Linked DNA regions of Ovis aries. The protein of the gene in region 1 interacts with the protein of each later gene in a pairwise test. Links are inferred from orthologs where the notes say so. Each region holds a gene or a part of one and is shown on either strand. Other genes may lie near its edges.

Region 1 (7,571 bases):
AAATATTAAGGATCCCTGAAATATTCTTAACCCTAATGAGATTTCACTGGACTCAAGTCATTTAGTAGTGAGGCATTCACAATATGACCCCATTAACCCAGCTGAGGAATTCTTGGGAGCCATAAGTGGCTACATCAGACACTGACAAGAAATGGTAACCAATTTCTGATCTGCAAACTCCCCTTAATTTGGCTCCAGAGTCATCAGGCTTTTAAATGCATCCTCTTCCTTGCCCCTCAAAATTATAAAGACTGCTGTTTACGGTAGTTTGCACTGATATCCTTTGTTAAAACAAGGTTCAGTTTTTCTGGCACCAGAACAAATTTGGGCTTGGTTCATGTCTGAAGAGAAAACCTATGAGGAGGGTCCAAAAGGCACCCTCCGCTTTTGCCTGAGGAGATGCAAAAGCAGAAGCAATGGGTCCTGTGCTTGGGGCACAGAGGGGGTTTCAGAGGATCCTTTGTGAAAGACTAGTTAAAAGATGACAAGTGGGGGGAAGTGCAAGGAGAGAAGGAAATTAGTCTGACTGGCTTTCTGTCCTGCACCATTGATTCAATGGAGATTGGTGGGAAGGAGTGGAAGACAAGGGTTGAGGGTAGGACCAGGGGCAAAGGACGGAAAGAAAAAGGCAGACAACTAATGCGGTTCGTTTATAACAAGTAATATAAATCAAAGACTTAAAGGAGATTAAAGACCAATCAGAATAATTTGGCAACTTTAATTCTTAGGAAGATCAAAGTTCCCTCCAAACCTAATTTGATGTTTTATTACTAAAAGCAAAGACCAGTATGGTACAGTATTACTCCAGAGGAATTAAAGGAAGATCCTTAGGGCTGCTTCACCCACATTCATTTTATGAATGGATACCTCCCCTACCTCAAAATGCTTTAGGGAGGTACTGCTACCATTACATGGTTCCTTATTAAGTTTGAAAAGTGCCTGAAAGTTTGGGCACCAGAAAGACACCCCAACAACATGTGTCTAAACTGCAACTTCAGGTTAATATGACTAAAGCAGTTACATTGTGAGAAGTGCTGAAGGTATGTGATGTCTTTCCCGGCATAGAGATGGCCTTGGTTCTTCACCAGATGGTGTAGCCACCATCTGAGCCACCCATGAAGAAGTTTCCCTTCCGCTGAGTTACGAGGACATTGGCTCCCTGCATGACTGCCAGCTGAGCAGCATTGGGAGGGCATCCAGGGGGAGGAGGCTGAAAGGAAAAGACAAGGTTGATTGGGCAGAGGGCAGCTATGGGAGGGAAGTGGACAAAGGTGAAAAAGGACCAATCAGGAAGATGGCAGTGTGCTAACCAGCGGCATCTCAAAGAGCTATCTGGGCCACCAATCTGAGTCCAGCAGGTCTACATTCTTTGTAAGGCCAAAGATATAAACAGGAAACCCACTCATTTAAAGGGTTCTGGATCCAAAATAAAGCCTATGGATACCTTCTAAGTGTGGGAAGTCCAGACTTGGCATTTTCAGTGCAGAAAATCACTCCTATTCACATCCCAAAACGGAGCGGGTACCAGGTCCAGGGACTTATATCACAGGGCCTGACAGTTTTCAAATGGCCCTGGATAATCTGAAGGCTCTACCTGATGACAGCATTTTCACTTCATCCCTAGCCTATGGTTATTGAGTAGATGGTCCTAGCAAGGACCATATGGGCTCTAATTCCCATACATAGGGGAACTAATCAAGAGACATTGCTAAAATCCCTAGTATCTCTCTAAATGCAATTTAATAGGGATTATGCATTGTTTTTTTAATCGTCATGGTTCCTAATACGATGCCATGCTGATGGCACATATAAATAAATGCTTATGGAATGAATGAGGAGTGTTACTAAACTAGTATCAAAGTGAACTGGAAAAGCAGCAGGCAGGACTCCTAAGACAGGAAAACAAAGGAATCTGATAAATTCTAACATCAGTGAGTACGCCAGATGTTACTGACTGGCCACGGTTCTCCTGCCCCTTTGAGTGCTTTCTGCCTGACTACTGGACGTCAGTGATTATTACACCAATACCAGCAACTATTACCCAGGGATGATGAAAGGATGACCAGTCATTTCAGAAAGTTAAAATACACAAGGGTCGAGCTTTTTTGTGACCAAGTCATACTCACAGGAATGTTTCCGGCAGTAGCGCCAGCTCCAAATCTGGCCCCTGTATCATACCCTCCTTCCACCAGCACTGTTGAACCAGGTGGATAGATGGGACCAACTGGATAATAAGCCATGGGGATTGTGGAACCTAAAGGTCCAACAGCCACAGACTGGGCCATGGGAAGATACAGTGAGGCGCCAGGAAATGCAGCTGACATGGTGGGGACGGTGGCAGCCCCCGGGTGCACAAAGCTCGGACGATAGAGCTAGAAGAGGCAGAAGAGAAGGCAATAAGTTACTTCATGACATTCCTATTTCAGATCTCAATTTAATGAGTCAAGTCTTAATTCTCCTTGTGCAGATTACACTCTTTGAGTTACACAAGTTGCCTTTCCACTGCCACTCAATATTCTCCTGGATCACTTCCTGCTATAGCTAATGTTAGGCTCAGGGAATGCAAACTCATCTTCTTAACTTCAGCCAGTGCCAAATAACATAAAACAATCAGATAATGCCTTCTCAAACCCAAAAGAAATGGCTGAACTATGTCACGTTTTAAGATGATTCATGTGAGCACTCTCTTCTGTTTGTGGAAAGTAAATAAATGTGTGGAGCCAGACTTGGCCAAGGACCGAAAACATGATCCAAGAGTATTCCATTATTAAGTTAACTGGAAGCACCTCTGAGTAGGCAGGTGGAGCATCAGTATAGGGTGGAGCCTGAGGAAGATGCAAGGTCTGAGGGTACACAGGGTTCCCAGGAGGCTGCACAGGGTAAGTTGGCTGCGTTGGATATTGACCTGGAAGACAAGGGGGGAAAAAAAGCATGTTGTCTACCATACAGTCACCAAAACAAAGCAGGGCATATTGGGTAGCTAATCTAGCTGGGATAAGCAAAAAGAGATTTCCAAACAGACTGCCCTAGAGGGCCTGATTCCTGGAGCCAAGAAAATAAGCATTCTCGTTGCACCCTTAAAGCTGAAGAAGCTGGATTCCAACTGGACATCCAGTAGCCGACTGCTGTAAGGGGAAAGTCTAGCTGGGCCCAAGATCCTCTCAGAACGCAGGGCAGTTCTGGGCATCCCCTCTAGCCGGTATTTCAACGGTGTGTCCTGTCTCCCTGTCCTGCGTGGTCTCCAAAGGTCTGGTTGTAACTGACCAAGACCTCGTGAGTAACGGTGGTTGTGGTCATCGACCTCACAGGTTCCTACTCAAGGTCGACTTCCAAATGAAAAGAGTGAGTGGTGGAAGTGAATGCTGAGATCGTGGAGGGGGCTGAAGGGAATGTTCTGACACAGAAACCGGGAGACTTTCTGGCCGCCAGCGAGGGTAAGGGGGAAGAGACCCCCTTCGGGCCCGACTGGCCCGCCCACCAGAGCGGCACTTTACTAGTTAAGCCCGGAGGCCTGCCTGTGGTTCCGGAGCGCGGCGCCCCGCCTCTGCCAGTTCTCCATTGGCCTACCCAAATCTCGCCTCCAGCTCCCCATTTGCTCCTACAGATGCCCATCACGACAAACCTTCTCCCCACCCCCCCAACCCACCCACCCAACAGCCCCCCCCCAACCCGAGTCCGCAGCTCCAAACTGCGCCACAGAGTTTAAGGGAGAAAGGGCCGTGAGGGAGCGAACGGCCGTAGTTCGGGAATGACGAAGGTGTCTGGCGCAGCCCCGGGCACTGCAGCTGGCTCAGGAGCGCGGCGCACCTCGCCCCAGGCCTGGCGTTCGGTGACCCTGGGCTCCGGGCCCGCTCGTTCCGGGCCAGCACTAGTCCCCCCGGCGGCCTCAGCCACCCCCTATCCTTGCCTTTGCTGTTCATGGTGGCTGCGGGTCCGGCTCGGCTCGGCGTCGCGGACGGTTATTTTTTTCGTCCTCTTCCTGTTCGTAGTCACTTCCGTGTCACGTGACGATCTGTCCGCCTAGCGTCACCCGACGCCCGAGTGCCGCTGCCACCGGAAACCCCGCCCCTTCGCCCGGCCGCCGGTTGCAGGAGGGAGGGCCCGCGTGATCCCGTCCGCTCGCGTAGGCCCCGCCCACCGGGTCTGGTCCTCCAACCCCTACCCTTGTCCCTCGGCTGAAGGAAAACCAAATACAGGTATTGTCTCAAAACGGGATCTTCTCTCTCTTGAACGCTCGGAGGCAGTAACATTAAACTATTCTCTGGAACCTTTTTCCACCTACGTTCAGCACCTCAAGGTCACCTCACCTTGACAGCCTTTCTACAAGGGGCATGCATGCTTGCTAAGTCTCATCGGTCGAGTCCGACTCTGTGCGACTCTGTCCATGAGATTCTCCAGGCAAGAATACTGGAGTGGGTTGCCATTTCCCATGGACCGAACCGGAAACTAACACACACACACACACACACACGGGACATAGATTCCTACACACACACACACACACACACACACACACACACACGGGACATAGATTTCTACAATCTTACCTAACTGCCTGAGATGCTTCGCAACCCTTGATCTATCTCTCGTTCCCCTCACTCAAGTCTTCACTGCCTTTCTATTCTACCGATAGGCTGTCGGTGTTTTATTTCTGTGTCGCTTTCTCACCGACAGAAAGGGTATGCTGTGCTGTGCCCCGCCCCACCCCGCTGCAACAGCTAGCACTAAAACGCATGTTCTTGGTACCCAAGGAGTACCCATGCCCTGGCCCTTACTTTGATACCTGTCACAGACACCTGTATGGTACCTGATAGGTATTTTCTCTGTGTATCCCTTCTCTTCTAACTTAATCGTTCTTAAGAGCAAAGATGCCATCCTTTAAGGCAACAATTGCTTCCATTCTTTAAGATATTTGCTGAACGCTTGCTGTGTTCAGGTACAGAGATGGAGCTGAACAAGACAGCCCAAGGCTATTTTCTCATGGTTTACATTCTGTAGTGTAGGAAGAACATTAGAAAAGCATCTGAAAAGAAAGCTTTGAAAAGAAAAACCCTCGGTAAACATTAGCAACCTGATCCATATTTGCTGTTGAATGACTTAAACCACTGAAAAGACCAGTACTCACTTCATCAGCAGTCCGCTGTTTTTCTCTCCAGTGTCAAATTACAGTTTGCAGGACACCATTAATATGCATGATTTTATGGAGTCATCACAGATCTTCACAACAGCCCTGTGTGGCAGGCAGGGCTTGTTTAAGCATTTCTGTTTTTCAAATGAGAGATTTGCCCTAAGTCACACAGTGAACAGGTTACAAAGTCAGGTGTGTTATCTTGGTCCCCACCCCCACCCCGGTTCCCAAATCAGTGGTTTGGTTTTGTTTTGTTCTTATCCCTTTACTCTGCCTATCACAACTGCTGCTGCTGCTGCTGCTAAGTCGCTTCAGTCGTGTCCGACTCTGTGCGACCCCATAGACGGCAGCCCACCAGGCTCCCCCGTCCCTGGGATTCTCCAGGCAAGAACACTGGAGTGAGTTGCCATTTCCTTCTCCACTGCATGAAAGTGAAAAGTGAAAGTGAGGTCGCTCAGTCGTGTCCGACTCTTAGCGACCCCATGGACTGCAGCCCACCAGGCTCCTCGGTCCATGGGATTTTCCAGGCAAGAGTACTGGAGTGGGGTGCCATTGCCTTCTCCAGCCTATCACAACTAAAATGCCCTAAAAGCACAATATCCAAGACTGTATTTGGAGTTCTTTTAGGTTTTTTCCCTTTCTTTAAATTCATATTATTTATTTGGTTCAGGCTGGTATTATTAGTATGATAAAGCCTCTGATATTTACCTTTTCTTGTATTTCTGACTAATCTTCTTGAAGGCAGGCACAGTGTTAGATATTCACTCATTCAACAGTTCTTTGGAGAACACTGAAAAATGCCAAGCACTGTTCTAAAAGAAAACAAAGCTCTTGCTCTCCTGAATTCACCTTCTGGTAAAGGGGCTTGCAAAGTTTTTTGAGCAAAATTCACAGTAATTTAAAGTAATAAACTTTAAATCATGACCCAGTACACACACATAAATAAATATGTGGAATTATATGTAACTGGAAATTTTATGACCTGATATCTATCCTTCTGTATACAATGCACTCTCATATTTTCTAATCTCTCTTATTTCCTTTTTTCAATTCTGGTTGTGATTTCACATCCTACTAACAAGTCAGGACTCACACTTTGAAAAACACTGTTTTGGGGTTTGTTTGTTTAAGTGGACTTTTAGGGTCTTGCATTTTTCTTAGCATGAAATTTGCAGTCACTAATTGGTAAATTTGAAAGAATAAGTCCTTGGAGGTCAGATCAGTCAATCTTCTCCCTTGTAACCTAACTTTTACAACTTAGATCCTAAACCACCCGAAAGCCTGAAACTGGAGAGGTCACTAATCTATACCCATCCTACCCTGTGCCCAGGGCCTCAGACAATACAGCAATGAACCTAAGAAAGGAACTGCCCTTATTTGGACCCCCAGTTAGGAACCCTGAAATTGTGTTGACTATAGCAAACCATGTCGGGCTTCCCTGGGGGCTCAGAGGGCAAAGCGTCTGCCTGCAATGCAGGAAACTGGGGTTTGATCCCTGGGTCAGGAAGAGCCCCTGGAGAAGGAAATGGCAACCCACTCCAGTACTCTAGCCTGGAAAATCCCATGGACGGAGAAGCCTGGTAGGCTTCATGGGGTCGCAAAGAGTCAGACACGACTGAGCAACTTCCCTTTCATAGCAATCCATGTCAGTGAGAATGTAGGAGAGGGATGCTAGTTCTGGTCATCACTGTGTCACCAGCTAACTGACTTTGGTCCTCATCTTCTCTGCTGCGCTTGTTCCTTGTCATATAGGAATCAGAATCTACACCAGTGTCCTTGCAGACGCTATGCACTTTGTGTCCATAACAGACAGAGGAAACATTCAGGCAAGAGGACTGTATTTCCGAGAGGTTAAATAGCTGAACTAAGTTACACTGCTACAGAGCCAGTGTTCAGTCTCAGCTTTGCTTGATTTACAAGCCTTGTTTCTAGTGTTTATTAATACATTGTTTAATCTGTTTACCTTGTTTTTAATCTGTTGCCTCCCAAGGGTCTCAGTTTCATCATCTGCCAAAAAATTCACATGATTCTTGTGTCACCTCCTGCTCTAAATCTAAACTCTGTTTTGAGGAAGGAAAAAAGCAAAGAGGAGCCTGAGAAGGCAGAGGGGAAGTGGGCCAAGCTGATAATCAGATTGTAAATTCTGGTCAGGCTCTGTGTGTGTTAATCGCTCAGTCGTGTCCAACACTTTGCGACTATATGGATTGTAGCCCTGCAGGCTCCTCCATCCATGGAATTCTCTAGGCAAGAATACTGGGGTGGATAGCCATTCCCTTCTCAAGGAGATCTTTGCAACCCAGGAATCGAACCCAGGTCTCCTGCAGTACAGGCAGATGCTTTACCATCTGAGCCACCAGGGAAGCCCAGTCAGGCCCTATCAGGTGTTACAAGGATAAATACAAATACTTCTACTGGATGATAATCAGCCACTGCCCCAAGCCTT
Region 2 (7,536 bases), on another chromosome or scaffold:
TAATCCAATAAAAATTGAGTCAAACCCGGTTATTTCTTCCACACGTTAACTAACAAAACAGCATAACAGGCAGAATACTATCTCTAGGTGCTAATTCTTGTAGTCCAGACAATGAAAGAATATGACATATGAAATATTGCTATATGAGGGACTTCCTTGGCGGTCCAATGGCTAAGGCTCCATACTCCCAATGCAGGGGGCCCTGGGTTTGATCCCTGGTCAGGGACTAGATCCTGTATGCTGCAACTAAAGATTCTACATGCTGCAGCTAAGACCCGGAACAGCCTAAATAAACAATTCTTAAAAAATAAGGTAATGCTGCCGGAGACAGACAGTACATTCTGGATTGGTGGGGAGGAAAGCTCTATGCAGGCTCAAGTCTTCAGTGAAAACTTGAAAGAATTAGGGCTCAGATCTTGTCTTAAAGCACAGGTAGCATGTAGATAAGTGAAGGAAAGGAAGAAAAACATTCTAAGTGGGCAACAGAATGATCAAGGTACTGATCAAACTTACAAAGGTTAAATATCAGGTTAAATCATATAAAATTATTGGGGTTTTTGGGTAGGTAAAAAACAGTCAAATATGGGCAATTTCATCTTGTTCAACCTAATAAAAGTGACATCTGTGGCATGGTATACTGGAAGTTTCAACTGTATTGGAAATGTTCCTGTCTTTTGTACTGAGTAGTAGTAGATACATAAGTTCTTTACATGACTTCTTATTTCTTAAATATTTCACAATTATTAAAATAATTAAAAGAAAAGCAAAAAAAGAAAGTTAAGTCTCATCAAATAAATAACTCCTTTAGGTAACACTTTTTCTCTGGATGAAAATAACATTTCTCAGCAATCTCACATTTTCTCAGCATTCTCATACCTTCACCCTCTTTCCCAGCATTTATCCAAGTGTACCAGCAGGGCTTATCAACCATATGACAAAGGAGAGAACCCAGAGACCCCTCAAGTGCAGTGTCCTTTGACTCCTCTGCCTTTGGGGGCCATGTCCCCTCTCCACCTGGCCGCTCCTTGCCCTGTTGGTGTTTGCAGCTGAAATTTGTGCTTGGAGACCATACAGCTATGATCTGCGAGGGGGCCTTCCTCAGGGTGCTCAGGCCCTGTGGCCCTCCCTCAACCTCTTCTCAGCTCTCTGACTGTGGGTCCATGAGGCCCATGGCGCCCTGGCCCAGGGTAGCCGAAGCAGGTGGTTCCCTCTGCAGTGTTCACTCCGGGGTCACCTTGCCCTGAAAGTTCACCCCTCCAGCCACCAGCCAGAGAGTCAGTCACTGTGGCTTTCTCAGGAAAGCTGAATCTCCAGGCCTCCTGCCTGAGCACACTTCTGCACGGTGTCACAGAGCGGAACAGAGCCTCCCGGGCCTCCTGACGAGGGCCCAAGTAGGACCAGTCCCTGCCATTCCCTCCGATTCTATGATGCACCTGGGTCATCTCTACGCAGAAGCCTGGAGGGGAGAAATTGGGACACAAATCTGGCAGTTTCCCCCTTGTGCTTATTTCTTGTTCCCATCTTCCCATCATTCCCCAGGACCAAAAACATAGCGTCCTTCTGCCACTGAGCAGCAGGCATCGGGCCTGGCAGTCATACCCTCTGGGAGAACTTCCTGAATTAAGTTCCCCAAGTGGGGCTCTTCAGGGAGGCACAGGAATTCTCTTTTTCAAAGGGAATTTAGGAAATCCTCTTTCAAGCCACTAACCTGGGCTTATAAAGTTCTTGTCTTGCTATAAAATCCCATGTTGACTGTCAGAAGCCAAATATCTCAGTTATTTCCCCCTCATTCCTCTGTAACAAATCCTTATTTCCCCTAGGCAGATGAATGTCAAGGGCCAACTGAGGATCAAGTCATTTTCTCAGAAAGGGAAAAAGGAAAGCATGTTATTCTTCAAAAGATTACTTTTCTAATTGCACAAAAATTCTCCCCATCCCCTGTTGCTCTCCCTCAAAGAGCTCCAACGACTCTCATGACCCTTAAAGGTCAAACACCAAGATTTACTGGCAGGATTGGTACTCAAACATGAACAGCTAGCTGAATAGCAACCCTGACCCATGACGAACATGTACAGGAAATAAAACCAGTTAAGTAAGTTCACAGTGTTTGCTTTTCTTCTCTCCCAAAACACATCTGTGTACAGCTTTGTATACAATTTACCCAGGGGCTCCCCTTCCTACATCCACGTTTGCAATGACCCCTTCCTGCCTGGGAAATAAAATCTGTGGTGCACTTCAGATGCCAGTTAACAAGGCATGACTTACATAATCTATCTCACTGGTATCACAATTGCCTTTTAGGCAAGAGGTCTTTGGAGGAAAACACTCAGATTCCGTATTCAGTTAGTGAAAAAAAAAAAAAAAAAAAATGAAAGGAGAGACCAGGTAAAGAGTCCTGCCAATCACAAACCAGCACATTACTTACCCTCGTCTAAGCTCAGTTTCTTCAATTATGAGATAGGGTTATTAGGAGAATTCACTGACCCGATGCACGTAATTTGCTTAGCACAGAAAAGTGTTGAGAAATAGGTGTTAATGATAATCATCATTATTATTTTATTGTTATTACTGGGCCAGTGGCCCACTACTGATGATGGAAGTGTTTCCCTGCCATCAGCACCTTTACCCACACATACATGTGAGCCTTTTGATCCAAATGTTGAACTAATGAAAATGGCAGGAATGAAGTAAGCGTGTGTAATGGGGGCAAAAACAGAAATTTCAGTCAGAGACCATAGTCCTGATTAGCACAAAAGCAAGCTTCCCCCACTGAGAAGGGACAAAGTCAAATTCAAGCACTTCAGGCTCTCATATGATTTATATAGACCAATAAAAATATTTTAATAAACAATTAGGGAAAAGAAAAATGTTTATTTTAAAGTAAACATATATTAAAAAATAGACCCACAGGAATACTTGACCACATGATGTTCTAGTAACCCAGGCTTTCAGGTCTGCACTTCCGACAGCGCTTCCAGACGTGGAATGTGTCCAGGGCCCCGGGGTCACACGGTAATAGAAGAGCCATAGAGAAAAGAGGAGCTTGGCAGAATTCCCTTCATATTTTAAGCTACAGCTTTCTTTACTGAAATAATAGCTTTCAAGACACAAATTGTTCACAAGCCATTAATAGTATATATTAAGATGGGAAGATAAGCAAGAAGAATAACTAAGTCTGGCCTATTCTTTAAATGGGGACATCCTTGGTGGCTCAGACAGTAAAGAATCTGCCTGCAATGCAAGAGACCCAGGTACCATCCCTTGAAAATTCCCTGGAAAGGGGAATGGCAACCCACTCCAATATTCTTGCCTGGAGAAGTCCATGGACAGAGGAGCCTGGCAGGCTACAGTCCACGGGGTCTCAAAGAGTTGGATAGGACCAAGCAATTAACACACACACTCTTTAAATGAAACACTGCCTAAGTAGAGCGGAATGAAGTAGATGACTTTTCAAACCCTTCTAGGTCTCTTAACATAATTCCATTGTCTATTGCAGTGGTTTTGCAGACATTTTTTTGACAACACACAGCAAGAAATATATTCTACTTCTTGATCTGGTACATGCAAACATGATACTGGTTTCATGAAAGAATACTGACTCTTAGTACATAATGTTTTTCTACTCTTTTACTCGGGCTCCTTCCTTCCTTCCCCTTTCTTTCTCCCTCCCTTCCTCTCTAAAATTCCTTGCCAAACTGATTTTTGCCACTTATAATCTTAAAAAATACAGGCCTACTGGGTTTTTCTAATCACTACATATTTCTGCAGGTGAGTTTACCCATCCCGAATATGGATAGAATTCAGCCAACTTCCCAGGACAGCAGTTTCTAGGTTTGACTTTGGTCTCTAGGATATTTAATAAGTCATTCCCAGGGGATCTTGTTTTCTCTATAGCTGAAGGTAAGGATTTAGGAGCCTGGGGGAAGAAGGGATTCAGATGAGAATCAACAGAAGGAACTGCAAGGTCTGAAGACAAGAACCATTCATCTGGTACAATATATTTTGTTAATTTAAGAAAAACTCTTATCTTAAATATTTAGCATCATCAAGCACCTTTTACAGTTAACCCAGCAAACAAAGCTCTGGCTTGGAGGCCCAATCATTTATTTTCACTGAAAAGAGACCTCTTTTCTAAAAGCCAGGTCCCATCCCCCGCCCCCAGAGCCCCGACCCCTCCCAGGCCTCGGGTAACTTTTCCCTCCAGTTTGGTGGAAGGTTACATTAGAAGAAAATAGTCCCTACCGTCTAGAAACTTTTCAGGGGAAAAGAGGGCGTTTGACGTGTGGGTGGGTGTGCGGAAAGCGCCAGCAGGAGCAGCGGGAGCGGCGAACGCCGGGGGCTGGGCTGCAGACGGGTGCGGAGGCGCCAGCGGCGGGGGCGGGACGGGGCGGGGGTAGCGAGGCGGGGCGCAGGGGAGACGTAGCCCTGAACTCTCCCAAAGGGCAGTGGCTGCCGGCTCTCCTCGGTTGAGCGGTCTCTGCCCGCGAGGGGGCGCTGGCGGCCGGGGAGTTAAGGATGGGGCCTTGGCCTCCCGAACCCAGTGAGTGGCTTGGGTTGTCAAGACTCGTCTTTTTTTTGATAATTTCTTTTTGTCATGATGGTCTTTTGGCCTCCGACTCCGTGAAGGGAGCCATATTAAGAGTGCAGAAGAGGTGACCTGGAGGAAAAATTAAAAGGCGACTTTTAAACATAGAGTTTTTCTTTCTTTTCTCTCTCAAATTAATTTAGATGTAAATTACATTTGGAAAGATCAGGCTGCAAGGCTCTCATTTACCCTCACCAGATACTTAGAATAAGATTTCGGTGTGATAGTAATTTTGCCAGTGGAGGCCGACTCCCCAAAACATCACCCTGGTAAGTAATGAACATTTCCATGGGTTATGACTTTGAGGTTTTGTTTTACTCCATTCTAATACATGGCCTTTCTAAAAGTGCTTAGATCATAACTCAGCCCAGGTTTAATTAAAGTTATTTTTGAAAAATCTCGATGGGTAGGTAATTTACCTAGCTTCTCATTCAGATTGAGGAAATTTTGCTTAATTGCTGCATGCATTTCTAAGTATCTTTTGCCATGCTGTTTTTAGTGTGGATGGAAGACAGTCTCTCTCTTTCCTGGTTGGTATGTCAACAAACATTTGAGGAGTGTTTAGTTCAGAATACTGTTGGGTATTAAGCATTAAATGATCTGATATACCTGTCAATTTCATCAGAAACAGCATTTATGTATACATATAGTCTATATCGGGCTTCCCAGGTGGCACAGTGGTAAAGAATCCGCCTGCCAGTCCAGGAGATGCAAGAGTTGCAGGTTTGATACTTAGGTCGGGAAGATCCCTGGAGAAGGAAATGGCAACCCACTCCAGTATTCATGCCTGGAGAATTACATGCGCAAAGGAGCCTGGAAGACTACAGTCCATGAGGTCAAAAAGAGTCAGATGCGACTGAATGCACACACACATACACACACACACTCACACTCACACATCTATACCATGCTATACACCAGAACACACACACACACGTCTATACCACGCTATACACCAGAAATCTTTGTGAAATGTAGACTCAAATTAGAGACCTTGTTTTATTTTGCAATGAAATGGAGTTAATCTCATTGCAGTGTTGTGTAGATTTTAAGATACCTAGGATATAATAGGGACTCATTAACTGATAACTATTTATTATTTATCTAGATATGCTCCAAAGTGCTTTGCTCATGGCAAACAGTAAATACTGGTTGAATGAATGAACATGGCATGTTCCTTACTATATACGTAGGGAAAACACCAGGATGGGGATCCAGTAGTGCAATGACGTCATCAATGAAGCTTAGCATGGAGGTGTCTGCCCTAAAGCCCTTTCACCAGATGCAGGCTCTCTTGACCTTGGAATGTGGATTACTTAAACTTAAAATTTTAGGGGGAAAAAAATGGGTGCCTACTTGACTAGTAGGCCCTCGCCTCTTGTTAGTATGGAGCTTGAGAAGTTTTCTTAAATGTGGAAAAGCTAAGCTCACTTGACACAAATCAGGGGGAAGAAAGGTTTCTACAAGTTATTCAAGTTATTCATGTCAAAAGCGATTAGTGGGCCCCAGCTTCCATTACATCATTCACTGGGAGAGTGTAGGCTGGGAGCTCTGCAAGTCACATGATTCCATGGAGGAATTAAGGCTGAATTTTCTTTTGTGTTTCTGCCCTTAGCTATATTCAGTAGTAAGCATGTTTGGAAAAGGTTAAAACAGAACATGGAGCTCTAGTTTATTTTAATGCTGTCAGACTGCAAAGCAGTGGAAACTTGCTGAAGAGATTTACCAAGCTGTTTCCTTAAAGACTTTAGTGAATTAATTAAAAGGATTCTGAGAGATACAACATGCCAGACCCCTACTGGCTCATAAAATTGTTCTTTCTGATTGATGTGACTTGACAGCTAAGCACAGCGCATGTAAAGCTGCAGGGGAATAAAACAAGAGTAGTGCTGATGTGTTCAAAAGACATGTGAGTGTTCCGCTTGAATTGGCTGTGACCACAGAGTCAGCTGGACACTGTGCTCGTTTCCTTTGGCTCAAGTACCCGAGCTCCGTAGCAGCTCAGATTTGGCAAGGTGCTCAACCACTGAGTGAAAATCAAGTCACAGCTTCAGAAGAGATTCACAGATGGCGATGTGTAGGTATTCTGTTTCATGTTTTAGTCATTGCCTTTAGAGTGCCTGCTTTAAGGTGGTACTCGGTTACGGAACCATGCCTGCGCCACGGTCTCCAGAGGGACTGAGCCACAGGTGAACTGTGTTCTTTAGTAGACAAATATCTCAGACAAGCAGATGGGTCGCAGAAGTATTCTAAAGTTTTTAGCCAAATTCTGGGCAATGTTGGGTCTAACTGATTTAGAAAACACATTCTTTTTCAGCCAACAGTGAAGCCAAGATTGTTAACAATATGATCCAACACTGAAAGCCTTCATCATTAATACATACCTGCAGTCAGAATTTGAATGTGACCTGGCCAAATATATTTACTCATTGAATGCTTATTTAAATAAGTGGTAGGCCTTGGAGATACCTCAGTTCTTATATTCTCTCATAGTGCTGTTTAGTAGGAGCATAATGTGAGCCATATAAATAATTTAAAATTTTCTGGTAGCCACATAAAGACATTAAAAAGAAACCAATCACATTAATTTTAATAATGTATTTTATGTCCACCAACTATATAGATATCATTTTAATATGTAGCAATATAGAAATTATTAATATTTGCATTCTTTATTCTGAATTGTTTTCTAATTCAGTGTGTGTTTTACACTTAGAGCACATCTCACATTGCACTGCTCAGATTCCACATATGACGAGTGATGTTGGGCACCCCAAGTCTAGAGGGAAACACAGAGGAGTAAAAAGGTAATTTCAGTAAGACGTAATAAAGGCAATGATGAGAGAAGTGTAAGGTACAATGAGAACACATAGAAAGGGCTTAGTTCCTTTCGTCTTCCACCTGAAATTTCCATACTTTTCTCTGCTCCTCTGTATTCTTCCTGCCACCAT
Region 3 (7,701 bases), about 130 Mb from region 1:
CCTGGGCGGCCCCAGGGCAAGGGCTCCACCTTGGCCCGGACCCGGCCCCCGCCCCAGCCCCTCCTGCAGCACGGGGGCAGCGGCGGTCGGCAGGCCTCAGCACACGGGGTCCACACAGACGGGCTGTGCAGCATGTGGGCTCCTCCACCTGCACCGCAGGCCCTCTCCTGAACCTCGGGGTGCAGAGTGCCCTGCCTGCTTCCGGGGTCTCCGTCCCACAGGCCTCCCCACCCCGACCCCGGCTGGATGCCCCAACCCCAACCAGGATCCTCATTGCCCCGGGGCAGGCTTCCGGGCTGATGAGAAGGAGGTGACCCCAGAGCCCGCCCACCCTGTGTAGCGCCTTCTGTGGGCGCCGGGCCTGCCCTGCAGCTCTGATTCCTTCTCTGGGAAGGGCCTGGCACAGAGAGCCGCGTGGGCAGAGGACCCCCCGCCAACCCCGCCCAGTCCTGGGATGCACCATTCCTCCAGCCTTGCCCTGGGTTTCCCGAAGGCAGAATGGGCAGAATCATGCCGTCCCTGCAGTCCAGGGGGTAGGAACGGAGGAGGGGAGCCAGCAGAAGCGGTCTGTGACCCTCTTCCAAACAGAGCCCAGGGTCACTGTGCAGCCCGGCGTGGGGACAGAGAGACACGCCCCCACGTGAGCCCGGGGAGAGCTGGCCAGAGGAGGTGACCGTGGGCAGAGAGGAGCACAGGCAGGACTCTGCAGAGACGAAGGGCCGTCAGAGAAGGAAGAGGGCACGTCTGTGTTCACCTCTCCAGCTGGAAGTTGGCCACTCCGCGCTGGAGGAAGCCAACAGCCAAGCAGGCGTCCTTAGTCACCGCCCGGTCAAATGCCTGCGGACAGAAATGTCTGTGAACTGCTCAGGCCTGTAGCCCCGTCACCACCGTGTCACAGATGGGGATGCCCAGCAGTGGGTCAAGGAAGCCCGTCGGCCACATGACCGTCACCTGTAAGAGAAAGCCTCCCTCGCCTGCCCAGGGGCCTCTGGGTCCAAGGGGCGCAGGCGTCACGGCTTCAACGCAAACCTGCCTGGGCTCCCCAGGTGTTTTCTGATGGCTGCTCGGGGGTAGTTAGATGGCGGCACAGACCAGCTTGTTAACCACGAGGAGGAGGAAACGCTCCAGCACGTTGATAATAGTTACCTCCACGGAGGGAGTTATGTTAAGACTGTTGTCTCCTTCAAGCCCTAGCTTTGGTGGTTCACACAAAAAGACACACGTTTCATCTATTAGAGTCAGAAGGAAGAACAGCACGAAAGCCTTAATGTGCGTGTGAAGCCCAGCTCTTCCTGAAACTGAACTCAGAAATGATGCCGTCTGTTCCTAAGGACAGCAGCCATCAGGCAGACGCAAGCAAAAGGAGTGCACCCAGCAGCCACCAAGTTAAACACAGGCAACTGGAGGGTGTCACGGCCCCGCTCTAACAAACCTGGCCGAGCGCGGGCTTGTCGAGCTGAGTCTGACCGAGGCTGAGGGTCAGCACTCGGGCACTGATGTGGCCGCTCAGCACAAGGGAAACCCTTTTATCCTGCCACATAGAGTGGCCAGATAGGAGCTTTTGGGGGGCTCCTGCCAGAGACGGAGCCCCAGCTCCCCTCACCCTGTCCAAGTCAGCTTTATTGATTGTAGCCGTTCCATTTGCTTTTTAAATTTTTCCAACAAACATGCCTCTGCTACTCCATCTCCGATTAGGGTGGAGGAGAATTTAACGTGCACACCCTTGGCCTGGAACCTCTGTCCCCTCTTTCTGATTAAATCGAGGTTTAGGGGAGGTAGTGACTGGACTGGCATCATTCCACTGACCCCGTGGTGTCCAGGGGTGACATCCCCATTGCTGGATAACATTTTAACACTGACATTGCTGCTGAGATAACTGTAGATTCGAACACATATGTGAGGAACAACAGGGCATGCCCCTTGGACGTGTTTTCGGTTGACGTCGCCGTTGGCCTGGACAACGCGGGAACCTGGCTCTTTCTGGGGGCCCTTGGGGACCCAAGCAGTGAGCAGGGTGCTACTGCTTTTTGTCATCACCCATGGGATGTGCACCACTGTGATGAACCTGGAGGCTTGAAGGGCAGGGATGGCCCTGCCAGGCCCTCAGCAGAGGCAGGTGTGTGTGTGTGCCCGTGCATACATCTGGCTCTTGGTTCTGCTTTGGGGAGTGGGTGGGGGACAGGTGAGCACACGGATCTGGGGTTTAGGCCCCCAACCAGAGTCTGTCTCCTGGCCATCGCCACGGGCACCCGTGGCAACCCTCCGGCCCCATCCAGCCTCGAGCCTCTGTAGGCACCTTAGCACCTCCATCAAGAGCACCTGAGCCAGGGCTCACTTGGCCTTTCCACAGGACCGCAGAGCAGGGCAAACGGCCCCCACAAGTGGAGGCTGTGCTGGAGCCTTGCGACCCCATCCTGGCCCTGACGCAGCTCCACAGGGTCCCCCCGGACACACACAGGTCCCACCTGCTTAGGTGTTCGCTGCAGCAGAACGCTGGGGTGGGGGGAGTCTCCGGGTGGCCATCAGGGAAGAAGGGTGGGGGCCTTGGGCTCGCCCCTGCAGCTATCGCACCACGCATTGCCACCCCACCCCTCCAGCCCCCGCCACCAGGAGCAGAGAGCTGCATCCCCTGAGGTGAGGCCTCTGCGACAAAGCCTGGGGTCCCCCTGGCTCACCCGCAGCGCGGCCTCCGGGTCTCCGGCCAGCAGGTGCACGCAGCCCACGTTGAAGCTCACCCTGGCGGGCGGCTCCGAGACGCTCGAGAAGAGGCGCAGGGCGCAGTCCCAGTCCCCGCGCGCCACAGCCTGCGCGCCCTGGTGCCAGTCGCGCAGCAGGTCCCCGAGCGAGGCCATGGCGGAATGGACCTCGTCTGGCCCACGCGGAAGTCGGCGCTTCCCGGCCGGATCGCGGGAGGCGCAGGGGGCGGCCGTGACGGTCTTGCCGCAGGGGTGCTGGGGGAGAGGACCGCGGGGCCGGGGCCCCGGAATCCGGAGACCAGCGCGGGCCGAGGGAGCCCTTCGAGGCGGACAGAAGGGGCGAGGGCACCTCCGGCGCCAGGTACCAGGTGCGGGCGGGGCGGAGCGCGGAGCGCCAGGTGCCTCAGGTGCGCCGGGAAGGCCCGCAAGCCCCGCCCCGCAAGCCCCGCCCCGCCTGACCACGCCCCCACCGGAGGCCCCGCCCCGCCCCGAGTCGGCCCCGCCCCTCTGGACTTCCGCCCCGAGCTCCCGCGCCGGCGCTCTCCCGCCGCCGCTGCCGGCTCGGAGTCGGCTTCGGTGCGCTGGGGAAAACCATCCGGGCCCGCCTCTGGCGCCGCTGCCGCGGCCGCGCCAAGGTTCCGGGCGGCCCCTGCCGTGTCAGGTAAGGGGCCCCGCGGCCGGGCCGTGAAGCGGTGCCGGGGGCCTCGCGGGCCGGCGCTGGAGGCGGGCGCCGCTGGGAGGGCCCGGCGGCGGGTCTCCCGTGGGCCCCGGGTCGGCGCCGGAGGGGCGGCTGGGGGCGCGGCGCGGACGTTGGCCGCGGCCCCGGGCCGACGACCCTGGGGGGGCGTCTGTCAGGCCCTCAGCCCGCCGGGCGCGGCCCGAGACGCTCGAGCCCGGCCCGCGTCGGTGCCGCGCCGTGAACCCCGGAAGCCCCTTCCTCCCCGCCGCGAGAGCGGGAGCCTCCAGGGCCGTGCGCCCGCCCTGGGCTGACGCGGGCCGCCCTGCGGCGCTGGGGCTCTGTCCCGGCGGCGCCCTCTGCGTCCCGCGCGGCCCACTCTCAGCCCCGCGGTGCCCCAGGGCCTTCGCAGAGGGCGGCCGGCGAGGAGGACGCGCCCCTGCAGCTGCGGGGGCTGCATCTGCCTGAGGCGCCCGCGGGCTGGGGGAGCCGCAGCGGCCCTCCTCCTCGGGGGACCTGTCTTGGCTCTTTCGGCCTTCAGCTGACGGGATGAGGTCCACCCATGCCACGGGGGGTCTGCTTTCTATCGCTTTGTCCACTGTTTTAAATGTTGATCTCATCTGAAAGATGCTTTCACTGCAACATGTGACTCTGACCAAACACCTGGGCACCGCGGCCTTTCGAAGCTGACGCAGAAATGTTACCGTCAATGCAGGAAGCCTGGAAACTCTCCCGGACACAGGCTCTGCCCTTATGCCCGAGCATCCTCCAGGGTCTGGGGAGGTGTGTGTCCTGGGCGGCTGGCAGAGAGCCACCTGCCTCCGATCTGGGCACCCTCCCTGCTCAGTTGGGGCTGTGACTCTGCTTCCTTCCCTGAGGACAACAGTTGCTGAGGACAAGCCAGCCTGGCTGTGAGACGATTCTTGTCAACTGGGAAGGCCTCCTGGGCCGTGCAACCCCGAGGAGGCTGCTCTCTCACCAGTGGGGCGCTGAGGTTCCCAAACTGCTGGCCTGGAGGTGGGCAGAGCCCCCACCTCTCACGTACTCCTCTCCTCCCCGAATTCCCGTGTGGACGCTCCCTTCCTCAGACCAGACCTCCTGGCCCCCGGCCTCCCACAGCCCTGCTACGGGTCCTCAGGAACCTCGCAGCCCTGAGGATTTCTGAGCTCAGCTGCGCCCTCCCACCTGCCCACTTGGGCCTCGTTTTTCCTGCAGCCCCCTACCCACACCCATCCTTACAGCTCGTGCCCTCTACCCACAAACCCCCACCCACCAGTTCAGTTCACTTCAGTTGCTCAGTCGTGTCTGACTCTCTGCAACCCCATGGACTGCAGCACGCCAGGCCTCCCTGTCCATCACCAACTCCCGGAGCTTGCTCAAACTCATGTCCATCAAGTCGGTGATGCCATCCGACCATCTTTTCCTCTGTCATCCCCTTCTCCTCCTGCCCTCAATCTTTCCCAGAACCAGGGTCTTTTCCAATGAGTCAGTTCTTCACGTCAGGTGGCCAAAGTATTGGAGTTTCAGCTTCAGCATCAGTCCTTTCAATGAATATTCAGGACTGATTTCCTTTAGGATTAACTGGTTTGCTCTCCTTGCCGGCCAAGGGACTCTCAAGAGTCTTCTCCAACACCACAATTCAAAAGCATCAATTCTTCAGTGCTCACCTTTATAGTCCAACTCTCACATCCATACGTGACCACTGGAAGAACCATAGCTTTGACTAGACGGACCTTTGTTGGCAAAGTAATGTCTCTGTTGCCAAAGTAATATGCTGTCTAGGTTGGTCATAACTTTTCTTCCAAGGAGTGCCCCCCAAACTCTTGTCCAGCCCCTGGTCCCTCTGTCTGGGCAGGAGAAGCCTGGCCCCGCTGGCCTGTCTCTGTCCACAGTGGCCGCGAGCCTCAAGTGGGTCACGTGGCTCCTGCCCTGATGGCTCGCCCTCCCTGGCCCCTCCCTGGGCCCAGTGCCTTCCCTTCCCTCCTTGGCCTCACCTCCACCCATCCTGCCTCCCAGCTGGAAGGGGTCCCCGGCGCCTGCGCCCCAGATCTGCCTCCTCCCTCGGAGCACTGCCCTGTCCCCAGGATGTCTCCCTGGGGTGCCCCCCCAGGTGTCATTTCCCCTCTATGCAGACGTCCTGTGTTTCTTCCCACCTGAACAGAAGGCCCCCGCCCTCAGCCCCCGCGTCTCCTTGCTCCTTTACAGCCAGACTCCTTTTGAGAGTCGGCAGGACCCAGCGTCTCCATCTCCCTTGCCGGGCGCTTTTAGGTACTGAGATGCGCTTCACAAATCAGAAAGCTCGCTGTTGAATGTGCAATTCCATGCTTTTGTCAGATTCACAGAGCTGGGCCACCGTCGCCCCACGCATGCCCCGCTGCAGCCCCCCGCCCCGCCCCCATCATCCCTGCCCCCGGCGACCCGCCGTCCAGTGTCTGGGTTCACCTCTTCTGGACCATTCGTATGAACAGAGTCACAAAGCGTGTAGGTTTCTATCTGGCATCTTCCCCTCAGCATCGTGCTTGAGGTCTGCACACGTCGCAGGAGGGTCAGGGCTTCGTTCCTTTTCAGGCTGAGTCACTTCCGCTGTGTGGATGGACCCATTTTGTTGATCAAACGGACCCCCGCGGGGGCGCCTGGCACCTGTGAGTCGCGCTTGTGTGCGGGTGTTTCTGCAGCCTTGTGCTCTTGGGTGCACGCCCAGGAGAGGCGTTGCTGGGTCAGGCGCTCCCTCGGCGCAGCTCTTTGACCATCTTTCCATAATGCTTCTTATTCTTGATCCTGCCGGGGTGCCACCCAAACTCCTGCCGGGGTGTCTGGCGGCCTCCTCGTGACCCCTCCCCCCTCGGCGCCTGGCCTCTGGGACACATATCCTTTGGGTCTCCTGTATTCCCTGCCCCTTCCACCTCCTCTGGGCACCTGCTCCCCCAGGTCCCATGAATTACCCTCTGGCTGTCCTCTGTGCCCACTAATCTTGTGTTTTTCTATTTTCACAATAAAAGAATGAGAAAAGGGACTTCCCTGGCAGTCCAGCGGTTAAGACTCCACATGTCCAATGCAGCGAGCACAGGTTCAGTCCCTGTTCGGGGAACTAAAATCCCACATACCCTGAGGCACGGCCCCCAAAAATAAAGATGAAAGAGGTACCATTGCTGTGCCTGCCCCTGTGGTACTGTAGCTCTGCCCCCTGGTGGCCCAGAGCTGGAAGCAGCCTAGGTGCCCCTCGGGGGTGCTGGCCAAGCAGCGCCTGCGTCCACCACAGGAGCCCACTCTGCGAAAGGGTCGGGCACTGGGCACTCACAGCGACGCGTGTGTGTCTCAGGGGAGTGTGCCAAGTGAGCGCAGACGCACAGAGGCCAGACTGTGTGGTTCCATCCGTGCAACTTGCCTGAAGTGACAGGCGACGTGAGCAGAGATGCGCCCAGCACTGCCGGGGCCGCTCGCAGTCAGGGCCTCGGGGCGACTGCAGGGGCCAGCGAGGGCTCTCCTCCAACCCACACGGCGCCCTGCTTGGGATCTGGGGTGAAACATAGATGCGACGTCTCTTTATTATTTCTTACAAGTTATCTCGAAATGAAATGTTTAATTAAAAAATCCTTAAGAAGAGCTCAATTACAAGTTTTTCTGTTTTACAGATACCCTGAAAGTTGGAGTGATTCAGTGACCTCTAAGGTTCTTCCAGCTCTGAAGAAGGTGGTTCGGAAACACTTCGTTGTGTCTGAGCTGAAATCTACTCCCCAGTAGCAGTGGAGGCGTTGGGAGCGGCTTCCATCAGGACACTGTTCCAGCTCTGGCTGTGAGAGCTCCCGGCCGCTCACATCAGCAGCGCTGCTGAGACCGTTTGGAGCACACAGCTCACGCGTGAGTGTGTGAGGGAACACACGCTAGAGGGAGCCCAGGAGAGGGAACCGCTTGCTGAGGTAAGGACTCAGCTCAGAGGCCAGCTTAGCGCTGGAACTTGCTTCCCAAGAAACTTAATAGCTGGTTGATTCTGGAGCTCATGGGTCAGTCAGATGGGCAGGAGTTTTGGATATTTGGGAATTGATTTTAGCCCAAGACAAGAGGTTGGGGTTGTTGTTGTTGTTGTTGTTGTCCCCTTTTTAAACAATGGGCACATCCAAGGAAAAAGCCAAATGCCACATAAGATTCTTCTCTCGGAAAATAAATGGAGGCTCACGCGTGACAGAGGCACTTGGTGCCCAAGGTCACCGTGCGGAGCCTGGTCCCCGGGTGTGCCCGCCACACGAGCCCGTGACCCAGTGCTGGGCGGCCACGTTTCCTGGGGGCTCAGCACACCCGCCACTTCCGCCGCTCACGGGGCACCGACCGTGA

What was found. The genes of interacting proteins can lie anywhere in the genome.
Region 2: the proteins of DAZAP2 (region 1) and POGZ interact in binary tests that used the Homo sapiens proteins (3 or more experiments, as listed by UniProt). The two-hybrid records come from large-scale screens. The link is inferred for Ovis aries from reciprocal best matches to the Homo sapiens genes DAZAP2 and POGZ.
Region 3: the proteins of DAZAP2 (region 1) and EXD3 interact in binary tests that used the Homo sapiens proteins (3 or more experiments, as listed by UniProt). The two-hybrid records come from large-scale screens. The link is inferred for Ovis aries from reciprocal best matches to the Homo sapiens genes DAZAP2 and EXD3.

The regions. Positions count from the first base shown.
Region 1 is NC_056056.1:134,988,032-134,995,602, forward strand, and holds the start of DAZAP2 (DAZ-associated protein 2), read right to left. Parts: upstream 4,003-7,571; 5' UTR 3,921-4,002; coding exon 3,908-3,920; intron 2,906-3,907; coding exon 2,787-2,905; intron 2,373-2,786; coding exon 2,127-2,372; intron 1,211-2,126; coding exon 1,082-1,210; 3' UTR 1-1,081. UniProt on the Homo sapiens protein: In unstressed cells, promotes SIAH1-mediated polyubiquitination and degradation of the serine/threonine-protein kinase HIPK2, probably by acting as a loading factor that potentiates complex formation between HIPK2 and ubiquitin ligase SIAH1.
Region 2 is NC_056054.1:101,395,961-101,403,496, forward strand, and holds the start of POGZ (pogo transposable element with ZNF domain), read right to left. Parts: upstream 4,374-7,536; 5' UTR 4,243-4,373; exon of another isoform or gene 4,219-4,242; intron 1-4,218. UniProt on the Homo sapiens protein: Plays a role in mitotic cell cycle progression and is involved in kinetochore assembly and mitotic sister chromatid cohesion.
Region 3 is NC_056056.1:555,844-563,544, forward strand, and holds the start of EXD3 (exonuclease mut-7 homolog), read left to right. Parts: upstream 1-3,328; 5' UTR 3,329-3,357; intron 3,358-4,353; exon of another isoform or gene 4,354-4,389; intron 4,390-7,004; 5' UTR 7,005-7,230; exon of another isoform or gene 7,231-7,289; intron 7,290-7,701. Other genes in the region: NOXA1 (NADPH oxidase activator 1), read right to left, coding at 755-837, 2,676-2,852. UniProt on the Homo sapiens protein: Possesses 3'-5' exoribonuclease activity. Required for 3'-end trimming of AGO1-bound miRNAs.